2 linked regions of the Drosophila melanogaster genome follow. The protein of the gene in region 2 interacts with the protein of the main gene of each other region in a pairwise test. Each region holds a gene or a part of one and is shown on either strand. Other genes may lie near its edges.

What was found. Proteins that work in one complex are often made in the same cells at the same time.
Region 1: the proteins of CG31122 (region 2) and CG10918 interact in a two-hybrid assay, tested with the Drosophila melanogaster proteins (one large-scale study listed by BioGRID).

Annotation. Positions count from the first base shown.
Region 1 is NC_004354.4:21,426,127-21,432,708, forward strand, and holds CG10918 (uncharacterized protein), read right to left. Parts: upstream 3,131-6,582; 5' UTR 3,118-3,130; coding exon 2,566-3,117; 3' UTR 2,488-2,565; downstream 1-2,487. Other genes in the region: DIP-beta (Dpr-interacting protein beta), read right to left, coding at 458-577, 5,472-5,600, 5,835-6,027.
Region 2 is NT_033777.3:18,403,663-18,413,371, forward strand, and holds CG31122 (uncharacterized protein), read right to left. Parts: upstream 6,199-9,709; 5' UTR 6,156-6,198; coding exon 5,836-6,155; intron 5,775-5,835; coding exon 5,670-5,774; intron 5,609-5,669; coding exon 4,957-5,608; intron 4,779-4,956; coding exon 4,613-4,778; intron 4,555-4,612; coding exon 4,220-4,554; coding exon of another isoform or gene 3,803-4,219; 3' UTR 2,402-3,802; downstream 1-2,401. Other genes in the region: koko (kokopelli), read left to right, coding at 27-171, 232-783; CG7685 (uncharacterized protein), read left to right, coding at 1,381-1,497, 1,558-1,763, 1,827-2,145; CG10864 (uncharacterized protein), read right to left, coding at 6,539-7,708.

The sequences.
Region 1 (6,582 bases), on a different chromosome or scaffold from region 2:
AAATAAAGACAAATTGCGGCATTGAAAGGTTTATAAAGTTTGAACCAGTCCGAGTTTCAACTCGAGCGGATGCTAAATGAAAAATTCAATTCGTGGCCACTCCCCGCTCATCAGGCACACTGAGAAAAAAAAATGCGATAAATGTAAGGTACATAATGAGACTATACAGTTTCTAAATAAAAAGGGCAGATGAAGGGATTTTTCGCAATAAGCTCAGTATTGAGTCGATATATTGCTAAGTTTTTTTTTTTTGTAGGTAATGGAGAATTGAATAAATTTTAATCTAATCGTGTTAATGAAATTGAACAGTTTCAAAGTATTTTTCAGAATTAAAATGAAATGAAAAACTATGTTTTTAGTTATTTTTGAAAATAAAAATGTTGCGTATCACTGAGTTAATTTGTGCTAGAAATGGAAATCAGGGAAATGACATTTAAGATGTTGCTGTGCAACTTACCATTCTCGCGCTGCCAATAATTGATGGCCTTCGGCGATGCCTCGACATTGCAAATTAATGTGACATCCGTAAGGACCGGGGCGCCGACCAATTGATTTGGCACTTGCACCAGCGGATGAACTGCGGAGGAGAAGACGGAGCAAATGGGTTGGGAGTCAGTGTGGATGGTGAATGAACCCGCGCCCGGTGGCAGTGCCAATTAATAAGCCATCAGTGGCCTTGTGACCTGGCCCACCCGCCTCCCCGTAAACCCGCTGAATCTCTGCTTGTCCTCCGCCCTAAACCCTCAACTCGTAACCCACAACGTTGCCCCCGCGGACTAGAGCGGCAATTAAGCTGGCCGCCACCAGGGAGCAAAGTCAAACTTCAAACCCTTTGTCTGACTCCGGATTCCCGATTCCAGCTGTGATTTTTATTTTTTTTTTTCGCTGTCGGTTAATGGCAGCAACGCCAACAACAACTGATACGATTTTAATTGAAAATGAATTATTTTGTTGTTAGAGTGGAAGTCAGCAATCCTGGCCAGCAATCAGGACCAGCAGCAGGACCACGAGCCTGCAGCAGCAGCAGCGCAGCAGCAGCATCATCCATCGTTTTCGCCCAGTGGTCAGTCAGTGGCAAATAAAACGAGCAAGCCATATTGCTAGTTTCTTTTCGGATTTTCCTATTTTCCACTCCCTACTAGGAATACAGTCACTTATCCGGCTGGGCTGGGAATTGGCTTTTCTTGTCGAAGGAGTGATGACCCCAGAACGGTTTAATGATTCCTCCACTAAAGCATCTTTCGTTTAAACTCTTGTATTTGCTTCAGCGATTTGTAAGATTTTTATTCAGAAACTATTACGCAATAGAAGAGCTCAATCTATCTATTCAAAATCATAAGTTTTCGGGATCTAAAGCTTAAAGTTAGATATTGAGAAACTATTACGCAATAGAAGAGCTCAATCTATCTATTCAAAATCATAAGTTTTCGGGATCTAAAGCTTAAAGTTAGATATTGAGAGAATATATAGCACTTGTGTTTGGGAAACAGCAGGGTGTAATTTTGTAAGAAAAGGGTTTCAAGGCCTTTAAAGCGACGAATTAATTGTTTTACACTTGCTTTGCTTCGAATAGAGCATTTTTAGTTCGCCAAGGACGTGCCATTAATTCATTGGGCTTGCCCTTTGGAGCTTTTCCATGTTGTCCGTGTCGTGTTGAGTTTGTTTTTTTTTTTTTTTTTGTTCTTTTCGGAATTTTTTGCAAGTTGATTTTTTGCGTTCTTTTCGTGTCTTTTTTTTCGAGCTTCTGGCCCCTCGCCCTTGCCTTTGACGTTGTCTTGAAGCCGCCCCAGGGAGCGCAGACGGAAAAGCGAAGGACCAAAGTACCGCAGGCCAGAGCCACTGACCATCATTGTTTTTTGGCTTTTCAACTTTGCTCCCACGTTCACCCACTGCACAGCGCTCTCGCCTCGAGCTGCATTCGAGCGTTCATTATTGGTCAATTTATTGGATTTGGACATTCCGCACTCTCAGCCCTCTTCTATATGGCGTCCGGATTTTCGGTCCCTACTCCTACTAGGTTCCCCGCACGTTTGTGCCCGTGCCCCCGTTCGTTGCACCACCCCTTTGGACTCGAAATGGTGCAGCATATGTCATGTGGTGTTCTCAGCGGTGTCGGGTGTTTCCTATTATGTCCAATTCTCGCTTAGCCTACCACTTATTGAAAATTCAATTTGCCCTAATAGAGCTATTCGGCAGGCAGCTGCCAAAATTAAATTATCAAAATAACTAGCCTTCATGCTGTTTACTTTATGATAACAAATGATGATATTTCATTAATCAGATGATTGATTTGCCTGTCGATATCGAAGAAATAACAGAAACGATAATTCTCTTAAGAGACAGCTTTCAATCTCATATGCTAATCGAGATATTTTTTGGTGCGAATCAAAGGTCTTAATACGAACGGACATTGCTGAATAGATTCGGCTAGTCTGTAAGACTAATATGACTGTATATGACTAATATATTCCAAGTTAATGAAATTAAGTTTCAATGTGCCAATTAGATTTTATTTTCATACATTTCCCAGAAAGTTTTCAATACGCTGCAATTGAGACTCAGAATCTATCCCGAACCAGTAGTGCTCTCCGTGGAGCTGCTATCAGTGGAGCTATCGGTGGAGCTATCGGTAGAGCTATCGGTGGAGCTATCGGTGGAGCTATCGGTGGAGCTATCAGTGGAGCTGGCAGAGGAGCTGCTGTCGGTGGAGCTGGAGGAGCTGCTAGTTGTGCTGCTGGTGTCGGCCAAGGAACTCTCCGTTGTCGTCCACCAAGGTCTTGGGCGACGAGGACGTGGACGTGGGCCCCAACCGCCAGGACCGCCGAATCCACCATTGAAGCTTCCGGGACCGCCAAAGCGGCCGGGACCTCCGAATCCTCCACCACCGCCAAGTCCTCCAGGCCCTCCAAAGCGACCAGGTCCGCCGAAGCCACCGGGGCCACCAGTACCACCAGGACCACCGCGACCGCCGAAGCCACCGCCTCCACGTCCTCCGAATCCTCCAAGACTTCGGCCACCGCCTCCGCCGCCACCGCGTCCACCACGTCTTCCGCCTCCCCCTTGGGCCACGACAACTGCCACCAGGGCCAGCAGGGTAATTGCAATGTAGGCACGCATTGTGGGACTTTTGCTCCAATAGCAACTGATTTGAGTTATGTACGTGTAGCCCCTTTTATACCCAAAAATTCGGTGTCGAATTCATCCATCAGCCTTTTTGCTAAGAATCCCCCGTGACGGCAGCATTGGCTGTGTGCTTAGCTGGATACTCCGAAGAATGGAAAATAGAGCGAAGAACTCCCTGAAGAGCTGAGCTCGAATTCTTCGCATCTAATAATCCGTGTGTTTCTCTTGTTTCATTCGTCGTGTGGCAACAGCTGGTCGATGTTTGAATTAGTTCCATTGTTCTATTCTTCTATTTTAATACAACCGTTTGAGTTTAAAAAAAAGTGCTGTGTCAGAGAGGGAAGTTTACAGAAATTTACGCAGTATCCTCACAATGAAACAAAAAACAATCATAACGTTAGCCAAATACTAAGACGAATTGTAAATTTGCTTAGAAGAAAATGAATGTCTATTTGAAGGTTTATAACCCTACTGCAAATTTTTGTTTATTTACTTTGTTTATTTGTTGTCAACAACTGGGTTACTTATTCTAATAGCACTCGTTTAAAAGTTCTCTTAAAATCTATGACTCAGTCGGAAAAATTATATTTTTTGTTCATTTTTTCATTTACATATTTATACCTGTTACTTGCTGAGTAAAGGGGTATACTAGAGTCGTAGAAGCGTATGCAACGGGTATCTGTTAGTCGGTTTACTCGACTATAGCATTGTTTTATACTCCAGCATCGAAAGTTGAATTTTCTCATGCTTTATTAAAAGTTAGGAACTATGTAAATTCATTAGTTTTTAAGGCCTTTCAATTGGTAACACTTATTCGCAGAAATAAGTCAATTGATTTGTAAATACACATGCTTAGCCTTCATTTGCGCCATTTATTTATGTCTAAAATCTATCTATATCAACTGCCAAGTAATAAACATATATTTCTTATATTAATAAAAAAATATGTATAGAAGATCGAACATCTTAGAGTGAATGTGGATTAAGTTCCTGAAAAGTAAAGCTCTGAACAGCTTTTCTGACTTTCCCAATTCGAGAGTTGCGGATGTCGAGGAAGAGAAATCTTTAACATTAGTGCTAATACATGGCAAACGACCTCGAGGAGCCACTTAATTTTCTGATTAGAATCAATCAGGGCGTCGAGTGAAATGTGCGGCTGAGACAAGGACACCTAGTTGGGCGGCGGGAGTGGGTGGCGTTTAAGAATCGCGAATATAGAATGGCGTTTCCCGCTTTCCGCACATATGGGGATTTTTAAATTGAAATTTCGAGGACCGGAAGGTGGGTGACTTCGTTTGGAGTAAAATGAAAATGAAATGACAAAGAAAAAGAAAAAGAAATTTGCGGCTTAGATAAAAAAAAAAAAAATATAAATGAAAATTAATTTTTGCGTCAAAAGTAAGTACATATGTGTGTGTGTGGCTGAAGAAACTGACGCCACATATTCACGACCGTGTCAATATAATTTTCGGATACAATCTTTTGGGTTTTCAGAGAAGCTGGTGGTTCTAGGTATTCTTCGCTGTCCCTCTTCTGCTTTCCCCTACGGCTTTCCTTCATTTTCCCGTACTTTTCCCCTTTTTCCGCCTTTTTTTCTGCGTTCTCCCAATTCCTCTTGCTTTTGCGCTTGCCCAATTGTCGTCGTTTGAACTTTTGCCCCTTTTGGAAATTTCATTAACTTTGATGCGGGAAGGTAAAACAGTTACAGGGGGGGTTTTTTAAGAGGTCTTAAAGGGGGTTTTTTTATGTGGGCAGACAGAGGGATAGTGCAGAACTGCAGAACCTTAACAATTACCACTTCACATGACACACAAACTCGCCAACTCACACAACTTTAAAGTTTTACTGCAGAAACGTGACGTTGCGTTACCCCAAGAAACACTTCACACCCGCCACCCCCCCACCCGTTTTCCATATTTCCCGTTCCCCTTTCCCCATATTCGTAGGGAAAAATGCCCTTTGACCCAACATCCACAAGTTTGGCGCCCTAATGCATTTGGAAAGTTTGTCGGCCACGTGAAGGAAGCTGCCGGATATCGAAACGGAAACACTTGCAGTTGCCGCCGCTGCGTTATTGCTGCGGTTCTGTTCCTGTTCCTGTTCCTCTTCCGCTTCCGGTTATAGTTCTGCCACATACATACGACTCCGATACGGAACAGCCCCCTTCTGGAACAAGCACAGCACAGCACATCCGAACGGGGCTATATGTTACCATTATGATTATTATGCGGCATTAGCTGCCTTCGACTGCCATAAATCAGTCCATTTTCTTGGCCAACGGCTGCAGGTGGCGCTACCCATTTATCATGTATCATATATGGATAGTTATATACTGTAGTGGTACTCACAGTGCACCTGTAGCTTCATCCGCTTGCTCACCGTCGGTGGCACTCCGTTGGAGGCAATGCACATGTAGGCGCCCATTTCCGATCGCGTGATCTTCGACAGCGTCAGCATTTCGCCCTCCACCGATTGTGCTGTGGGTGAGGAAATGAGTATTGTGGTATAGGGGTGAGTACATAACAATATGTGGTGGTTGCTTTAAAATGGGCTCCATATGTTTAAATTATTGTGTAAATGTGTAGTTCGGTTCGTCTGCAGTTGGCTTTAAATATTTGTATTGTTAATCAGGCAGGAAGCATACAAATTTTTTATTTTTAAATGCAATAATTCAGTTTTGCAAGTCCGTGAGTAGGATGCATTGCACTTACCTTTTGTTTTCTGGTGTGAGCCGTTGCGGGCAATAATCTCCCTGCCATCTTCGCGTCGCCACGTGATCTTCGGCTTCGGATGACCACGTGCTCGGCAAACGAGCTTGGCGGATCCGCCCTCTGGGACCATCATGTCCCCGGAGGTCTCTTCGTTTATAATGTCCGGTGGGATGACCACTTCCAAGGTGGCCGTCTGCAAGCGAAAACATTTCGGATACACATTAAATTCGCCATAAGGTTCGCTTATTCGACCTGTTATATATATTACGCATACGCCCAGTGAACCATACAGCCATACAGCAAGGTATATATATATATATATATATATATTAGTTCTTTTAAAAGACTTTAAAGTTTTTTCCTTTAATACAGAACTTAATGATTTCGAATCAGTATTTACTAAGCTGTTTTTTTAAATAATTTCTTGCCCCAATTTTTCGATATAATTTGTTTTTTTAATCGAGTTTAAAATATGTACATTTGAATCAATGTTCAACGCTTCATGCAATTGAAGGTGCCACTAATGTTAGCCCTTTTAATAAGTATTAGTCAACATTTTAGCTGCACTCAACGGCAAATAGCCGTCTCATTATAGAGCGCAATGTCCCATGCCCAATGTTTTTTTTTCCCCTTTTTTGCCTTTTTTAACATTTGTTTCATTCTGCGGTTGCTGGCTGCTAGCAACAATAACCGAATTGCTGCTATCATTGTCGTTGTCAGTTGACAGTTGTGTCATAAAATAAAGTTG
Region 2 (9,709 bases):
ACATATCTGTGCCATCTGTGCCGCAGCAAAATGAACAAACCCGGCGTGGTGCCGATGTACATCTTTGAGTGCGCTGCCAAGTTGAAAATGAAACCGCTGACGGCGGCCTGTGCGGCCATAGTGTTCCATCGCTTCTTCCGCGAGGTCAAGGCCAGCGACTACGATGAGTTCGTGAGTAATATATGCCCCCAAAACGACCCCATCTCATGAGAAACTTTCTGGAATCCACAGCTCATTGCCGCGGGCTCGCTGTACTTGGCTGGCAAAATTAAGGAAGACGAAAGTGTCAAGATACGCGATGTCATCAACGTGGCATACTGCACCCTTAACCGGGGCAATGATCCAGTCGACCTGAACGATGAGTACTGGTCGATGCGGGATGCCATTGTCCAGGCTGAGCTGCTCATCACGCGCACCCTGTGCTTCGATCTCAACATAGATCTGGCCCACAAGTACTTACTCCACTACATGAAGACCCTACAAGACTGGGTGGGCACTGAGGTGTGGAACTCGGTGCCCATTGCCAAGGCAGCCGCCTCGTATCTGCAAGACTTTCACCACAGCGCCAATATCCTCAAGTACAAGCCCACCCATGTGGCCATTGGGTGCCTGTCGCTGGCCCTCCAGACCTACGGCATCCAGGTGCCGCTAACCGACGAGTCCGACGAATCCGCCATGTGGTACAAGCCCTTGGTCAAGGACTTCACCCGAGAGAACCAGTGGGAGATCATCGAGAACGTGATCGAGGTCTACAAGAACGAGGGCTTCCTGAATGCCACCTAATCGCTGAGAGAGACTGCCAAAACCATTCCTTCTGCCATCTGAACTTATTTATTTTCCCCTCGCCACCTCATAAACCAATCTCAGATACTACTAGACGTACATATGCTCAAATGTCCAATGCATTTACATCATGCCCTTGCCAAAACAAATAAATTGACCGGTAATGAAATGCTTATGTGATCGACGGGCGAAAGTACATTTACCTATCAGCGAAGACGATAGATCTAAAGTTTACAACTTATTTATACACTGATTCAATAAACAATTGTTCTGTGAAAAATGATATTGTTAATGGGTCTTTGGAGTTGTGAAATGCTTTAAGATTCTGAGGAAAAGCAAAAAGGTGTTTGGCGCTTTTATTTCAATCAAATTCATTATACTTTTAAGCTGTTAAAAGTTTTACAAAAAAATATTACACTTTATCAAACAAATTTAAATAAATCGCTCTGTATTTGATTAAATTCCGGGATGGGTGGCAACCCTTAGCCCCAGCCCAGCAGTGTTGACTAACGCAGGCATGTACAAAAACAATGCTAGTTCGTAAACAAAACATATTTTTTATACATTACTTGGCCAGAGCGAAAAAACAAGGACAATATGCGTAAGACGTGGGTGAAGCGAGAGAATATATACTTCAAGCCCTTCTACAAGCAGAAGTCGAAGATGTTCCTGCTGCTGATCTTCCTGGTCGGAATTTCGTTCATCGCGTATCAGGTGAGAGTCTCGCAAGGATTTTCCTGTGCACGGTGTTTAATGTGTAAACAATAACGATAGGCCTTCTCGCTGAACCAGCTGCCCGGAGTGCCTGCTCCGTGGAATCTGCAGCAGATCAAGCGCAAGCACCAGCAGATGATGCAGTCCCTGGGCAGCAAACAGCGCGACGTGGACGATTTCGATGGCGGAGGCGCCGATGCAGTTGCTCCGGCAGGCGGGGAAACCTCACCTGTTGCGGGTCACGAGGATCCCATCAAGATTGTCAGGTGTGTAGTAGATGCATTGTTGCTGGCTTGGGAAAATTCCTCATCCTCGTCTTTATCCTTTAGGGGCACACGGCTCTTCGACTACGACGCCTACAAGCCCAACTTCGAGGGCAAGTTCCGGTGTCTGGACGGCTCCAAAGAGATCCCGTTCGACCACCTGAACGACAACTACTGCGACTGTGAGGAGGACGGCAGCGACGAGCCCAGCACGAATGCCTGCGCCAAGGGGCGATTCTACTGTCGCTACCAGAAGCGTCACATCACGGGCCGGGGCCTGGATATCTACGTGGCCAGCAGCCGCATTAATGACCACGTGTGCGACTGCTGCGACGGCAGCGATGAGTGGAGCACGGCGACCAAGTGTCCCAACGACTGTGCGTAGTCGCAGGCCGACGGGACCCCGTTCCCACTCCCATTCCTCTTCCATCTCCTCCACCTGTGCACCTAGGACACCAATCTCAAGGATGAAGATGTCGGGCGGCGCATCACAAGCGATATTTTTTGTACGAGTACAATAGAATTGTAATTTATTTTAAAATAAGTAGATTGAATAAAAGAAACGAATTCCAAGAAACACAATGTGGCCTGTTCCAGTTTTCACATTCAAAGAATCTGATGGATTTAATGTGTACAATTTGTTTAAAACTATGTTTAATTTGGTGCCAGAGGAGCAGCTGCAAGATTAGATCTTTGTGGACATGTGAAAAAAAGAAGCTGCCATTTTATCCATATATGCTTATTCATTTTATTACCAGACTCACAAAAATCAGTAGAATTTACATTGGGAATTCCTTTTTTGTTTTGTTTTCTTTTTTTTGCTCGACTTTCTCTGCGCGATTTTTGGTTTCGAATTCGCAGCGTTTTCATTTATAATGTTCAATTTACATCTACGACCGTCTGTAATTTTAGTTAATATGGTTCTTCTTGCCTAAAAATGTTTTGTGCAGTTTAATCCGTAAAATGTACATCGACAAACTCTAAAGCAATTTTGAACTGCAAATTCTACAAGGTACGAAATTTTGTGTGTAATTAATTTTTCCCTTATATGCACAGTACGTCTCACTGGATTTTCTCTTGGTTTGCTTTCTTGGCTGGCTTTCTTGTCTTGTTTTGGATGATAAGCGGAAGCGGTAATGATCTCCACATCGATATACATAATTAGTTTAAGGAACGCGCGCCATCGCATTTACAATTACTTCTCGGATCTGAATTGGCAAAATTCACTTTATTCACTTGCATTTGCATTGAGTACTTCTTCTTTGACTTGCCCAGCACAATCAGAGAAAACTACGTCGTCTATGCCTGGACGAGCTGATTGCTATATTGCTATCGACGCTCTCGTCTCACAAATTTGATACTTTGCCCCCAGTTTGCGATGGAAACTGGGGATCAACCTAAGTAAAGTACATTTGTTGTTGTGGCTTGCTTTTTGCCAGTTGCAACTTAAAGTTAGCTTACGTACGCTAAGTAATACTTAATCAGAGGGCTTTGTGGGTGTGTGTGATTTAGATTTTAGGCTGGTTAGATTAATGCGTCTGTGCGGATGATGTATAAATTCATTGGGGTACTTAAAACATAAATTGCTTGAGACACGCTACGATTACAGTGCTTGCTCTACGATGTTTACTTTATATCATGTGCGCAAATCACAAATCTTTTCATCAATTACAAATAAATAGCATGGAGTGTTTGTATAAAATAAGAGAGGTCTGTAAAATCAGCATATATATAAATACGCATATATATAAATATATAGATATATATATATTCGGATTATGTATATTATTGCACTGATGAGATTTTGCTTTCAGTTTGGGACGAATTACAAAAATGCGATGATCAAAGATACAAAATACGAACAAAAAGGGGAATAAATAAATACATGTACAAAAAATGAAGGGACGAAGGGACTGGACATACATATAATATATATAGGACGTGGTAGGTGTGACTCCACTTAAGCTAAGTGCTGATGCTGCTGGTGGTTCTAAGAAACTTTCTCTCGTACAAGTACACATAGATATAGTTAGGCTACAGATCTAACGGCAAAGCGTATAATACAATTTCTGCAGTTTGCGTTTCGAGCGACACTGATGATGATGATGATGGTGGTGCGAGTGGTGATGTGAGTGGTGTTGGTGGTGGTGATGCCTGTGTGATGTTGCCGGATGGTGATGATGGCGCGCCTGTGGCGGCTGCTGCGTCTGCTGTTGTTGCATATGGCTGTGGTGATGACTATTTACAAGGCTCGCGGACGAGGCGCTCAGAGCCACCGCCGACGAGATCAGGGCCGCAGCCAGGCGCGATGAGGAGGCCAGCGCGAGCTCCGGGGCGGCAGCCAGCAGCTGCTGGTGGTGCTGGCGCAGCTGCGCCACCTGCTGACGCTTGAGGGCGGCGGTACCCTTGCGCATCGCATGCAAGCGACGCCTGTGGTGATGCGGATGCAGTTGCAGCTGTCACTTTGCCTCCTCGCCGGCTTCCAATAGATTGTTGCTCCCATTGTTGGTGGCGGCCACCGCCGCCGAAGACTGCTCACTGATGCCGACACCCTGCTGCTGCTGCATTTGCTGTTGCTGCTGGTTGAGCGCGTGGACGTGCTGGCAAAATGCCTGCAGCACCTCGAAGTGGGTCATCAGATTCGCTGGCTGGTTGTCGTAGTGCAAGTGCCGGGTGATCGGCGCATTCAGCCTACGTAGCATCTCCGTAAACAACTTCTCCTCCTTTCTAATCCAGGGTCGGCGATCATCCTGCACCTGGTAGGGCGTCAGGTGGACATGGATGTTCATGCCTGCTTAAAGACTCCCACTCGTTAGTTGACTCAACTTGGCATTTACTCTCTCTCCACTTACCCATCCGCGTTAGTGTTTCCAGCAAGCTACGGGACGTGATCCAAGTGTTCTTTTGGCCCCCATGGCCGCCATCCAGCCAGTACATGTCTGAAATCCGGGAGAGAAGGCGGCACATGCTGCTGTCGTCGGGCGTGAGCGTCTTAAGATAGTGGAACTCGTAGATGAACTATAAACAAAAAAGAAAGTGCAGATAAGTATGGTCAGTTGGGTATGGGCCACAATCCTCAGATACCGATTCAGCGTTTAGATTTATACTCTACACGCTCCATCGACACTTCTGCATAGGATTGAAGCTGGCGTATTGGCGAGTGGATCAACTAGGTAACGAACCAAACGCGACTCACTTGATTGAGCACGACGCAGCCCTTGCTAAAGCCAATCAGCACCAGCTTGGATTTGTCCAGATTGAGGTTCTCCCGCCACCACAGCGGATTGCTATCGCTGCTTGCCGTTGATGTGGAGGTGCCCGTTGCCGAGGCTGTTGTTGCAGAGGCAGCGGAAGCCTGCCTCGTACCACAATCGTTGTTGTAGTGCTCCACATTGTTGGTGGCATTTATCGCCGTTGTGGGAGAAGTCATCTTGATGGCTGCCGCCGTTTGCTGCTGCTGCTGGAGCTGCTGGTTGTTCACTTGCTCTTGGTGGTTGTTTACACTATCATCGTTACCGCCACCACCGATGTTGCCATTATTCCCGGATACATTGTTCACTGCCTCTGGCACTTCGTTGCCAACTATCGGAAATATTACTGCCCCATCCGCGTCCACTGTGATATTCTCCTGCACCTGCAATATATCAATGTCCATCTCCTGGCTGCTGTCGTTGGCCGGTGCCGATTGTGAGTTGGACTCCGAGGTGACCGTGGCGTTGGATAGCGTTAAAGCTGCGGCCGCAGCAGCAGCAGCCACTGCCGCCGCAGCAGCCGCTGCCTGGGCGGCCTGATCCAGAATTTCGTTCTCTGGTATGGAGATCAGGCGCTGCGATAGATTCTGAAGCAGTCTGTGGGGATAAACAATTGTTATTAATAAGAGCATTCTTGAATTGTACACTATGAACTTACTTTTCTAGATGCTGGAGGGCATGGTTCATGGGCGTGTGATCCGGAACTCCAGCGTTGTTGCCCCGAACAAAATTGTCAAAGCAACTGAATGTCTTGAACTCCATGCTGCAAATGAAAATGCGTTTATATTATTTATAAATTATTATTAAAATATGCAAAAACTAACCGCACGGGCCGGATGACGATGATGTGTGACCGGGGAAAGGCCTCGCGCAGAAGGATGGCCGAGTTTTCGAGGTTGTACTTCATGTAGCCCCGACTGTCACGGTTCGTCTCCATGCTCTCCGGGAAGTCCTGCACGTCCCCACCAAAATAGATTATGGCCGTGGAGTCCTCCGGCACGTGCACCGAGTGCTGGCGCACGATCGGCGGGCAGTAGACGATGTCATTGGCCCGGTTCTGGAATCCGGCCACGGAAAAGATGCGGAATGGGCCGGCCGAAGTGCTTGGCGTGCACAGACGCTCCCCGCTGCCGCCGCCAAGCATGCCCTCGAAGTTACGGATCCGCTCTTGCAGTTGCAGGAATTGATCAATGGTGAGCTGCGGGATCGAATCGGTTCATGGGGGATTACTTTACTTGGTGGGCATTAACCAATCACAGCATCATTTTCACAGCTTCACACACAAACGCTCTTTTTTGAAAACTTTCACAAATCAATATACTTTCGAAAGTTCTGAATAGAATAACTGATGATATAGACCACTTCTGTTACAGAACTATAACCCTAAAGCTAAATACGATCTTCTTATAATACACTTGCTTTTTCTTTAGTTCCATCAGAATAGAACCATTTCGGATTAGTGATGAAATATAAATCTAAATAAGGGACGTCCTTGTTTGAAACCCCTCCTAACAACCTCTTCTTATCCTAGTAGTAATCATCCTCGTACGCGTCCCTAGGATTCCCGCAACAGCCAACGAATCGCAGCCTGGTGTCCTCCATGCAAAGTTTGGCGTCCTCGCGCATCTCGCGTGCCTTTAGGCGCACCTCTTCGCGCATCAGGTTGCGACACATGGCCACCAGACCCATGCCCAGCAGCATGTAGACAAAATTGATGGCCAATTTGGAGTGCTGATCGGCGGCCACGGACTGTAGCTGGGCCAGCTCGGCAGGATCGGCTGAAATGTCCTCCTGCAACTTTTGCGTCGCTGCATTCACATCCGCACTGGTAGTCAGCGAGGCACCGGGCACAAAGTCGCCAAATCCAATCTTGCACAGCGAGGTCATGCAGAAGTAAAAGCTGTTCAGTAAGCTCCACTTCTCCCAATTGGCAAACATCACGGTGCCGGTGAGAACGTAAAAGAAAATGACCCACAGGCAAGCGGTCGACGGCACAATGACCTTTTTGCGTGTCATGCCAACACCACCCTCAAGGGCGTCCATTCGATCCAGGCGCGGGTGCTCCTGGGTGCAGTCGTGCAGTGATCGGTAGAGGAACTTAAACGATCTGGCCAGCACTCTGCCCATGTTGAGGAAGTACAGGATGTAGAGCGGTATGCCAAAGGTGGCATAGATCACGGTGAATCCCTTGCCCCACGGAGTTCGTGGCACCATGTTGCCGTAGCCAATCATGGTTATCACCGACAGGCAGAACATTAGGGCAGCCGGAAAGCTCCAGATCTGCTCTGGACTTCTGCCCACATAGCCGTGTTTGACAACTCCGGCTATTTGCGACTGGTACTCCCTCAGTACATCGTTCGTGGCCTCCGTCCAGCGTCGACGATCGATTATGTTGTGCTGCTCCGTGATGCTCCACAGCTGCTGGGAGCAGTTCTGACGCAGCTCCATCACATGGCCAGCCGTCTCGTCCACAAACTGGCGCTCGATGTGCATGAAGGCGAATGCTCCACAGATGGCATAGATCACGATCAGAGCGCCCACGCCCACCTGGGTGCACATAAAGGTGACGAAGTTGCGGCAGCAGCGTTTCACCCTTTTCCTCGGCTGGTTGCTCGGCGTAGAGGAAACACTCGATGGCCCCCCTCCCATGCCTACAGTTCCGCCGGGAGATGGTTTCCTCTGAAATTTGCTGGCCATTTTAGTCGCACATGGATTATATAACCGATTCCACAGATTCCGGATATCTCCCTTCTGGTCGAATGGCCTTTGAGCCCGACGATGTGCAATTAATTGGACAGTTATCGATTCTCAATCTGATTTAGAGCACGGCGGCGAGTGTGGAAATCAGCAAGTTGTCTAAAAATAGACCCACGCCTTTGCACGGCACATTTTCCACAAGATCAAACGTGAGATTTTCCCGACTGCACAACCGATCAGCGCGGGCGCCAAAATTCAACTGGTGGAAATCTGTTTCGAGGGAAAATCTACCAAGACTCGGAGAGCAAACGAGCGGAAAAGCCAGTGGAAAGCCGAATGAATCTATGGAAAACAAATATTGCGGCTCAGATATTTATGCCAGCAAGTGCCCGCGGTTCTAAATCAGGCCATTTACGTCAAATTTATGGACGGGGCAATTAAGACATCACTGTGGTACAGGTGCAATATGCAACAATATACAATAATCTGTACTGAAAAATAGTTACGATTAAGCATCTTATTATCATATAGTACTTCAATTAATTGATAACGATTTTGTAGAAATTTCATTGAAATAACTATTGATATGTTAGGATGTCATAATAACTAATGAGTAATCATTAGGTTTTTATCATTTTAGTACAGTGAGTACAGTACAGAGAGTATTGAATTGGAGAAAACTATTTAATGTAGCTATTCGTATGGTCCTAAATCAAGATTTAACCGATTTTATCTTGGCAAAACTAATTCTGCAAAGTTATCTGCTTGGAATAAAAGTGCTGATACACATATTCCCCTGACAATTTCCTGCAATTAAGCAAATCCGAAAGATACAGCCTGGTAGTGTTGGTCATAAAATTTCGGCACTTTGATTGACGACGGGTGTGTGTGGTGGAGCAGACGGCGCGAGAGCTTTTGGGAATCTCGGAATTGAAAACGGAATCAGAATTGGGCGCTATTTTTACGGCGCGGCGATAAATCAAAACGGGAAAGAGCATCCGCCATCGGGTAACAACAATAAAACGGGGCCCCCCAAACAAACTATACGTAAATATAAACAAAGAATTAAAAAACGAAAGCAGAGAACGCACTCACACACACAGACTCATACACGCACGCACGCATAGGCGGCTGTGCTGATAGAGAAGAAGAGGAAGAAAGATCAAATACGCAAAAACGGGGGGTGAAAATGCGTAGCGAAGAGATAGATTTTTTCAACACCAGCGCACTCGCATTCACACACACAGACACACACGCACGCTAACTCGCTGCTGCTGCTGCACACTCACACAAACACAGTTGAAATTTCACAAAAAGTTTATGCAAAATTTTCCGGCGCATTGCACTCTGCAATTACCGTTGCAATTCACCTGCACTTTTCCGCTACTTACGCTGTTTATTCTCGTTAATCGTTGCGCGTGAAAATTTTGGCGTTCTGGCTGCTCTTCCCGCGTATTTCCCGTATTCCCTCTTCGTCTGTTTTTCTTTTATCTTGCGTCTGTGTTTTCGCGACTAGAGCAGCCAGAACTATCGATGGCACTATCGGTGTTTTGTATCTGTCGATAGTTGCGGCTATATGGTGGGGAGCGCATAACCAACACCTTATCTATTTCTTGGCCTTTCTTTTTTGCACATATGTACAGTATTTTTAAAAAGTTTTAAATTTAAATTTGTTCTTAAGCGCCTAATATGTATAAAATTGCTACTTATCGATAAATCAGTACACAAATCAATAGGTGGTCACTCTGACTACGGAAAAGCGATTGTTAGTGTGCCCAGTCATCGCGATTTGTATAATCGATGAGTTGCATATAAGGTGGCAACTCCAAATATTGGCGGGCTCGACTTAAATATTCAAAAATAGAGACACATCGAAACTATCAAGGAAATGTGTATTTAACATTAAGATATCGAATTATTGCGACATTAAAAGTTTTCACTTAACTTAATTTATTTCCTTTTTCTTTTTAAAATATTAAATTGCTACATTTCCTACCACAT